Oryzias latipes: one gene and its partner. The protein of the gene in region 1 interacts with the protein of each later gene in a pairwise test. Links are inferred from orthologs where the notes say so. Each region holds a gene or a part of one and is shown in the gene's direction. Other genes may lie near its edges.

Evidence for each region.
Region 2: the proteins of zcchc10 (region 1) and prr13 interact in binary tests that used the Homo sapiens proteins (3 or more experiments, as listed by UniProt). The two-hybrid records come from large-scale screens. The link is inferred for Oryzias latipes from reciprocal best matches to the Homo sapiens genes ZCCHC10 and PRR13.

What each region holds. Positions count from the first base shown.
Region 1 is NC_019872.2:6,666,271-6,670,672, reverse strand, and holds the start of zcchc10 (zinc finger CCHC domain-containing protein 10), read left to right. Parts: upstream 1-1,536; 5' UTR 1,537-1,614; coding exon 1,615-1,655; intron 1,656-2,501; coding exon 2,502-2,663; intron 2,664-4,402.
Region 2 is NC_019863.2:10,423,436-10,427,912, reverse strand, and holds the start of prr13 (proline-rich protein 13), read left to right. Parts: upstream 1-1,481; 5' UTR 1,482-1,606; intron 1,607-2,977; 5' UTR 2,978-3,030; coding exon 3,031-3,046; intron 3,047-3,124; coding exon 3,125-3,663; intron 3,664-4,477. UniProt on the Homo sapiens protein: Negatively regulates TSP1 expression at the level of transcription. This down-regulation was shown to reduce taxane-induced apoptosis.

The sequences.
Region 1 (4,402 bases):
TCTTATATAAATAAAATTCTACTGTACTCTAATCTTCAATAATACTTTTTGTTATTAAAACTTTTGTGATTTAAGCTTTTCAAAGTTAGCCTAAATAATGAAAATGATCTTGTCTACAATAGGCATAGATTTTGCTTTTTAAATTTTTTATTCAGAGCAAATAATAATTTTTTCGTAAGACAGTCCTATGAGAAAGCTTTTTTGTTTTATTTTTTTCTTTGTTAACATACATGGTAAAAACATTTGAAATAAAAAAAAAATAAACAAACGAATTGCAACTTTAATAAGAATATGCATTGTATTTATTTTTGTCAGAAATTAGCTAAATGATGATGATAATGAGTATGAGATTAAAACAACTGTAATAATAACATAAACAAGTACAAAAACATAACAAAACATGCAAGCAAAACTGCAGTACTTCAACCCAACTACAATAGTACAAAGAATGTGTATCAATTAATTAACTTGGTAATACTGGCATCATATTGAAATTGGCAGACAATTAGGTTTTAACGTATCTGTTTCATCTAATTCAAATATATTAATTTGTTAAAATTAGGGCTGCACGATATGAGGAAAACTCGCGATATGCGATATTGGTGATTAATATTGCGATAACGATATAATTTGCAGTATATAAACAAATATCAAACCAACCAAAAACATCATTTCCATTTCAATGCAACAGCATAAAAATTATACTCCAAATGACCCTTGTCGACATAGGAGGCAAACATCAAACATAAAAGGGCTCATTTGATTGATCAACAACGTAAACGAGTCCTTCCGATTGGTTAAATGCATAAAGGGATTTATTTCATTTATTCAATATTTCAAGCTGCCATGAGTTTGTTTTAGCACATTTAACCCTTGTGCTATCTTAGATGACCCCCCCTTACAGTGACGTGTTCTTCCTACCATGACAAAGGTGGATAAAGGTGGAAAGATTTCATGTAATCCATGGACACCAGTGAAGATCACAAATCCTAGAAGAAAAAAGGTTCAGAGCACTGTTTAGTGGGTCTAGATGACCCCACTCCCAATGTTAAAGTGCTTAGGATAGCACAAGGGTCAAGGTAACCATTTATTGCGATTTTGCCGTCTTTTGCGGTATGCATATTGCACAGTTTGATGTCGCGATAACGATAAATTTGCGGTATATTGTGCAGGCCTAGTTAAAATCCATATCAAAATGTTGAATGTACAATCTTGCTGCTGCTAAAAAAGAAAATACATTTTTACATGATTTTTCAGTTTATCTACTATTTTTAACACTAAATCTGAAAAAGTACAAACTTTAACTCATCATCTAGGTAGTTTGTATGTTTGCTTATTTCCTTATTTGTACTATTGATGTTGTAACTGTGTTGAATTATTAGAACCACTGAATATTATTTCTACTTAATAAATGCATTAAATTAATTTAACGCATTTATTAATAAGGAAACTATAAAGAATTTTTGTTATGAAAATTTCAAAAATAGTGGGAAAAAATGAACATGACCTTAAAAAGCTTTATCCGTTTTTACCACTGGGGGCGCTGAATACATTAACTTTTCCGGAAGCTCGTTGTGAAGAAACACCACAGAAGAAGTTGCATCAGATTTTAACATGGCTACTCCTATGCACAGAATAATTGCCAGGAGACAAGCGTGAGTATGTTTTCGTTATCACAACGTTACTGATTCCATACCAAATTTATGTGAAGACAACATATCGATAAACATAAATTACACTTTTTTGTTGGGTGCAATATCCTATAGAAGCGGTAAATAACGATTATTTCACTGTTTAAAAACAGTTAAGATGCTGCGCTTCTTCTTTCGCTGTTCACACTTGTTTTCCGCCATTAACGCCCCAAACTAATTATCGATACAACCGCACACGTTCCTGAGGATTTTAGTAGACATTAAGGGGCGGAAAAACTACATTTTGTTTGTGTACAATCTAATAAAGAACGAGCTTACTGCATAAAAGTTGGGATAGAATTCAGTAGTTCGTGAATCGTTGATGGCCTCACCGACCGTGTTATGTTCACTTACTTGGGTAGTAATCAATTAATTCAATAAAATTGGGTTTAGTAAGAATCTGACGCAGGAAAAAACAAAATTTTCAGGACTTTTATAAATCCTTTTCAAAATATGAGATTTTATCAGTATCCACTGTAATATAAAATATTGAATTTTTCTTTTAGTTTGGTTTGGTTTACTTATGCCAAAATTGTTTTATGAACCAAATGGATTTGTAGTGGCCTTTTTTAAAGTGGAAAAAATCAAATTAAATCTAATTGTGAACTTGGAAGCTACTCTGCCTCAATATATATCATCTTCATATTTAAAAAGAAAAATTCAGAGGTTCAACCTCCGTCACTAAGATCAATTACAAACATTTTCTTGTGAAAAACTATCAAGTATTTCCAGGTATTTATGGATTTGGCCCATTTAACGTACTCCTTTTGTAGTGTTGAATCTGAAACCTCTTTTTTTTTTTTTCTACAGGGAGGCAAACAAACAGCATGTACGATGTCAAAAGTGTTTGGAGTTGGGACACTGGACCTATGAATGTACGGGCAAAAGAAAATACGTCCACAGACCATCAAGAACAGTTGAGATGAAAAAGAAATTGAAAGAAGTCGAAAATAAACCACTAAGCATTACTGGGTAAGGTCACTTATTCTTTTCTTAAATATCCTAATTGTATTCTTTCTTAAATTTGAATTTAACCACAAGGGGGCACAATTCAATGCTTTCATGTGGCGAATCCCAAGTCTGTAAATGCTGGAGGTTGTGACTGTATACAATATGAAAAACATAACCAAATCCAAAAACGGAACCACAGACAGAACTGTTCTACCAGATTGGCTGTAGAGCGGTTGGTGAGGTGTGCTGTAGGTGTGACCGAAGACTTCAAGGTGGAGGTGGGACTGGACAATGGATCAGCTTGAACTCTTCATTGTTTGATGTGATGATGGACAGACTGACAGACGAGGTTTAGACAAGAATCTCTGTGGACTGTGATGTTTTCAGATGACACTGTGTTCTGTAGTGAAGGAACATCTAGAGAGGTGTAGGCTTGTTCTGGAAAGAAGAGGAGTGAAGGTCAATCTCAGAAGGACAATGAGGAGGATTCTGGTGAGATTACAGGGAGCCGGGGTGAAGAAGATGGACGACTTGAAGTATTTAGAGGTCAGCAGTCCAAAGCAACAGATTGAGGAAGGATTCAGATGTGATGTGTGACAAAAAAGTTTCAGCAAGAATGAAAGGAAAGGTGCAGAAGACAATGGAAAGAACAGCCTTAGTGTTGGTTTAGACTAGAGCAGGGGTGGGCAATTCCAGGCCACGAGGGCCGGTGTGTCTGCATGATTTCCAGATACTCTTGCCCTACTCATGGCTGATTACCTGGTTCAGGTGTGTCCAGCCAATCAGAACATGCCAGAGCAGGGTATGCTGGAAAACATGCAGGACTGCGGCCCTCAGTGCCCACCTCTGGACTAGAGCATGGTTGTCAGAGTCCAGGGGGGTATTCCAGGAAGCATGTTTAAACTACCCTGACTTTAAGCCTGAACTCTGGCTGAAATCCGCCTGAACTTGCTTACTCTGGGTATGGCGGTTCCAAAAGACCGGATATGAGTTGGCGTAATTACGCTCGACTGGGTAACCCTGGGTTACCGCACGTGCACAGCAGGTACATAAAGACATTCTCAATGGATCGCCGATATCCCAAGTCACCATGGAAACGCGTGGAGAACAAAAGAGAGCGCTATACTTCAGTGAGACGGAGTCTGAGATTTTAATGACGGCGTATGAAGATTATACGCCCATCAAAAAGTAACACGGCTGCATCAGCAAAAGAGAGTTTCTGCTTGGAGAAAAAGAACGGAGAAATAAACGCACAAGTTTCTGATCTTATTTAAAATGACATTGTGACGTATATAAATAAAACTTATCGAACTTAAAAAAATTGATTCAAATGGTAACAAGTGATGGAATTAAATTTATTCAACCTAATTTCTTACGTCTATAAAACTCTAATTGTTTTTAGAACTCAAATTTACATAGTTATCTAACTAAATGTCATATTACTCCAAATCAATTAAATGTTTTTCCATCTCAATTTATGGTACTTCTTGAACTCTCATATGTCTAAGTTAGAGGCTGCAGATTTTCTCATTTCTATAACATTAAAATGAATGACATGGTGTGAATTTACAATATATACCATGCCTTTAATTATCATGAGTCTGACTGTAACTTCAGTTCTTAGACTGCACTCTTGTACTAGTGCTGCTAAATAACCTCATCCTCCTCTCCCTCCCTCTCACTCATGGTGCAGAAAGAATTAAACATAACAGGATAAAATAACACAGTAAAACAACAAAACACATTTGGTCAAAAGAAAG
Region 2 (4,477 bases), on another chromosome or scaffold:
ACCAAATGGTTCTTTTAGAGGTTGCAGACCCCTGATTTAGCTTTTGTGTTAATAACATAATTCAAAGTATACATACACACAGTATATGCTCTCCATAAATATTTACAATGAATCCATATCAGACATCTTGTCCACACATGTCAAATGAAACTATAATTGATATTTCCAAAATAATATGAACTCAATTATTGGTGGAAAATCTGAATTTGAATTATTCTGATCCAAATCTAGGCCCATCAATCCTCCCTGTGATTATTTCCAGGATTAAATGAATAAACTCCAGGCTAGTCTTAAAAGCAAATAACTATAAAAAGAGCCAAATCAGCCAATCTTTTGAACGTCCCTTCCAAGTGAACTGATTCAAAAGATTCAGCTCCCTAAAAAGAGCCATAAATCCCAAATGTGAGGTAGAGAAAATTTTCCTTAAAAAAAGTGTGTGTGTGTGTGTGTGGGTGTGTGTGTGTGTGTGTGGGGGGGGGGTTGATTGAACAGCGGAAGAAAAAGGTGGGTTTGTGGCGAGTACTTGAAAGTCATTTAGGAAGAACGCTGTACTTCAAAGTCCTTATTTGTGATTTTGCATATGAGAAGGCTCGACATTTGGCTTTGAGTAAACAAAGTTGAGCAAGTTAAAAGGTTTGAAAAAGAAGCTTGACTTACTAATTTGCTATTCATTCACGAGTTAAGTTTTATTTAAATGATAAATCACATATGGTTTGATGGTGCTTTCATTTAGCTGACTTTTTTTTAATCTCCACTGATAATATTGTTTTTTTCATGAAGAAGTTTATTTCTTATTTAAGAATCAGTTTTGCTGTGAATATATGAAACACAAGAAATTCTATTGTATTCGGAGTTCTCACTTCATAACTGTCTCTCACCAAATTGTTTTACTAAATATATAAAAACAAACAAAAAAACAAACAAACAAAAAGATCATGAAAATTGTGTAAACCTGATAAAAGTGAATTCAGTTTGGCTGATACAGTCTTGTTATTATATCATGGGCACAATGACTCATTGTTGTGTTTTGATGACCAAATGGAAAGCAGACAGTAATGGAAAAAAATAACTGCCAGTTATTTGTGGCATAGTGGTACAATTTCATACAAGTTTTATTTAAAAATTTGGTTAATACTGAATTTAAAAAGGGGTTTGGTTATTGTATTTCATTAATAGCACGATATTTTATTATTAGGTCTATAAAACTCATTTTGATGCAAAATTATGAAAGTCCGTCTGTAAATACTGTTTTGTTCAATAAAAAATCCTGCTATGAGCTTGAGCAAAAGTTAATTGTTAAACTTTTCTTTAAATAAAAAGAATTACAGTGGATCCATGATGTAATGGACATTTTCAGATAAAATCATTTCCATTATGGTCGTATTTCCTTTGGACACACCCTGTGGTGACAAACTCCGTCTTTTGTGATTGTGACATTGAAAGTATTAAATGAGCTTTCAACGTGGGCACAATACTGTGCATTCTTGATCGGAGGTGGGCGTGGCTTCCAGGCGCAGTCTCAGTTAACTGCAGAGCTCAACGCGGAAGACAACAAGAAGCTCCGGGTTTCTAAGTGACGTCGAACAAGCAGAGGCAAGTTACTCAGGTAAGCTTTTGGAACCTGGCATTTTGTTATAGGCAGTGCGACAGATGTTGACAGTAGATAATTCGGAAATATCTCGTGTTTTAAATGCAGGATATTCGGTAAGAGGCCGAACTTTGCGTGAATTTCTTAGCCGAAGAAAAATTCCTCGAGGGGTTCGTTTTGCGACATCTAGGCCTGCTTTGTGGCAGGCGGAGAAATAATGCAGGTCCAGTGTAGATTTAATAGATGTATTAAAATGGACTTAAAATAAACAAATAACTGCGTCAAGATACTTTAAACATCAATGTTAGCTGTTTTACTTTCTTTTTGTTGTTTTGTGTGTCAGTGATGTTTAGATTTCAGTTTTTATAGACTTTTGGGCAACTTCTCAAGCTTGTTTAATGATCTCATTCTACCAATCTTGTGTTGTGGTTAAATAATTCTATTATTTGTGTTTATTTCTTCCATTGATGTAAAATATAAGATTGCAGTCTTATCATCATGGCTTTCAGAGATTTGCTCAGTTGAGCTCCCACTATTCACTTGTCCAACAGCTGTAGATTACCCTTTATTTCCCAACTGTTACGTTTAACACAAACTGGTTTTTGAAAGATAAAAATATGAAGAATTTCTTGTTGAAAATTGTTGGTTCCCTGGATTCGAACATACAGATCATGTTTCCACACTGAGGTGTGTCCGACCTGAGGTGTGTCAAAATCACATGATGCAAATGTTGACGTTTTTTGTTTGTTTTACAGATGACTATTTTATGTGAGAACCAAACTGTCAAGAAAACAAAACAAAACCCTGCTGAATATAAACTATATCTAATCCCCACACACAAATCTGTGAAGAATCAATGGATCAAAAAATTTGGAGTTTTATTGCATATATAATAAGAAAATATATAATGAGATACTTAAAATATGATTCATATTATTACATTTCTATTCTTCCTCACTTTCATGTACATCCTAAAAGGTAATTTACAAATGTGTGTCAATTATTCTGGTTTTAAAACAAAATGCTGCAATCACATGTGACGTTTTGAGGGGGGGGGGGGGGGGGGGTCCCTCCACAACAAGTAGCATTTCCCTTGGTCTCCAACTGCGGTGCCGTTGGCTCTGTTGCAAATTTTTGTCAAAAACCGAGCTAAAATGAACTTCTCAAGACTTGTTTCTATTGTTCAAAAGATGTTGTTAAATGTAATTTATAGAATATTCAACTGTTTTTAACGGTAGGTTGGACTTGATTGAACAAAAGTAACTAAACTGAAATGGGAAATTATTTACTTCTAGGTTTTAGTTTTAATTTTTATATGATTGTAATGTTGACTTACTGCCCTTTTTAATCATATTTTTATATTGATTTTCCTTTCTGCTTGTTTGTCAGGATTCTATTGTGACACCTGATGTGTGTTTGTCATTAGGCTCTACACCAAAACCATGTGGCCAAATCAAGGTGGGATATCAAAATTCTTTATAAATGTTTGTATTACCTAATGCAATGTCAGCCACAAAATGCTTTATTTTGGATCAGGTCCTCCCCATTCAGTGCCTCCACCAAACCCAGCCTTTGCCCCTGGCTACAACCCTGCATATCCTCCTGTGCCTCCAGCAGGAGTCTTTCCTCCACAACCAGTATACCCAGCTGGTCAGTACCCAGCTGGTCAGTACCCAGCTGGTCAGTACCCAGCTGGTCAGTACCCAGCTGGTCAGTACCCAGCTGGTCAGTACCCAGCTGGTGGGAATGTCGCCATGGGACCACATGGAGCTCCAGGAATGATGCCATATGGAGCACCTGGAGCTCACCCGTATCCCATGGCTCCAGGTGGAGTTCCAGGAGTCCCACATGCTGGTGTTCATCCAGGTCACTACCCACACTCTCCAAAAGGGGGGCACCACAAAGGGGGGCACCACAAAGGGCATCATCATGGAGGAGCCATGCCAATGGGTGGAGTAGTAGCGGGTGGGGTTGCAGGAATGGGAATTGGGCTGGTTGGACATAAAGCCAATAAGAAGATGAAGAAAAAGATGAAGAAGGCTCATAAACAAAAGCATGGACACAAACATGGCAAGGTGAGGTTGTGCTTGGGTGAAAGAATGCTAGTTAATGTTTGTCTTGTATGGCGCTTCATCTCTGCCATAAAGTGAAAGGGCGTAAAGACAACTGAGCGGGTGTATTCGGAAACTGAGTGAGCAAACCTTACAACCGCGCGGGCGCAATTCTAACCGAGCGACTCCGTATTTTAAAACTGCACGCCTGCAATCCTAAATGAGCGGTGATCCCTCGCGGTCAATTTTCCTTTGCGCCCCTGCTTGGATTTACACGCTCAGTGTTAAGGCCTGTTCACACCGGGACGAATTTCGCCGGCGATTTTCGCCGACGTTTAACGCCTCGTGACTAAACAAAGGGCACCAACGAGAGTGTGCACACCGACGCGAAAAAACGCCACGCGTTAAAGCGTCAAAAAAAAAAAACGCCTTGGGTTCGTTTTTTTTTTCGACGCGTCGCGTCGAAATCTACTCGACCAATGAGAATGGCGCTTTTGCTCACGTGTCTGGAGCTTCTGAAGTTACAGTAAAACACAACTTGGGGGCGCTCAAACACAAAACTGCCTTGCTGAGCACACATACCAGCGAAGAAGATAGACGCCAAGTAGCGTCTACACAGCCGCGAAGCAATAATGACGGACATTCTAAAATATCCCCGAACCAAGCACCAGTTGGAGCTACTGGTGCTTGAAATATTCATGTTTTCTTTGTTTGATTCTGACAAGCGCGTAAATACTTGCTCTCTTCTTTTGAGTGAAAAGCGACTTTAAGAAGCGTAAAGTTGCGCAGCGCCACCTTGTGTACAGGAGTATTTCTGTTTACATTAAGCGCCATCTAA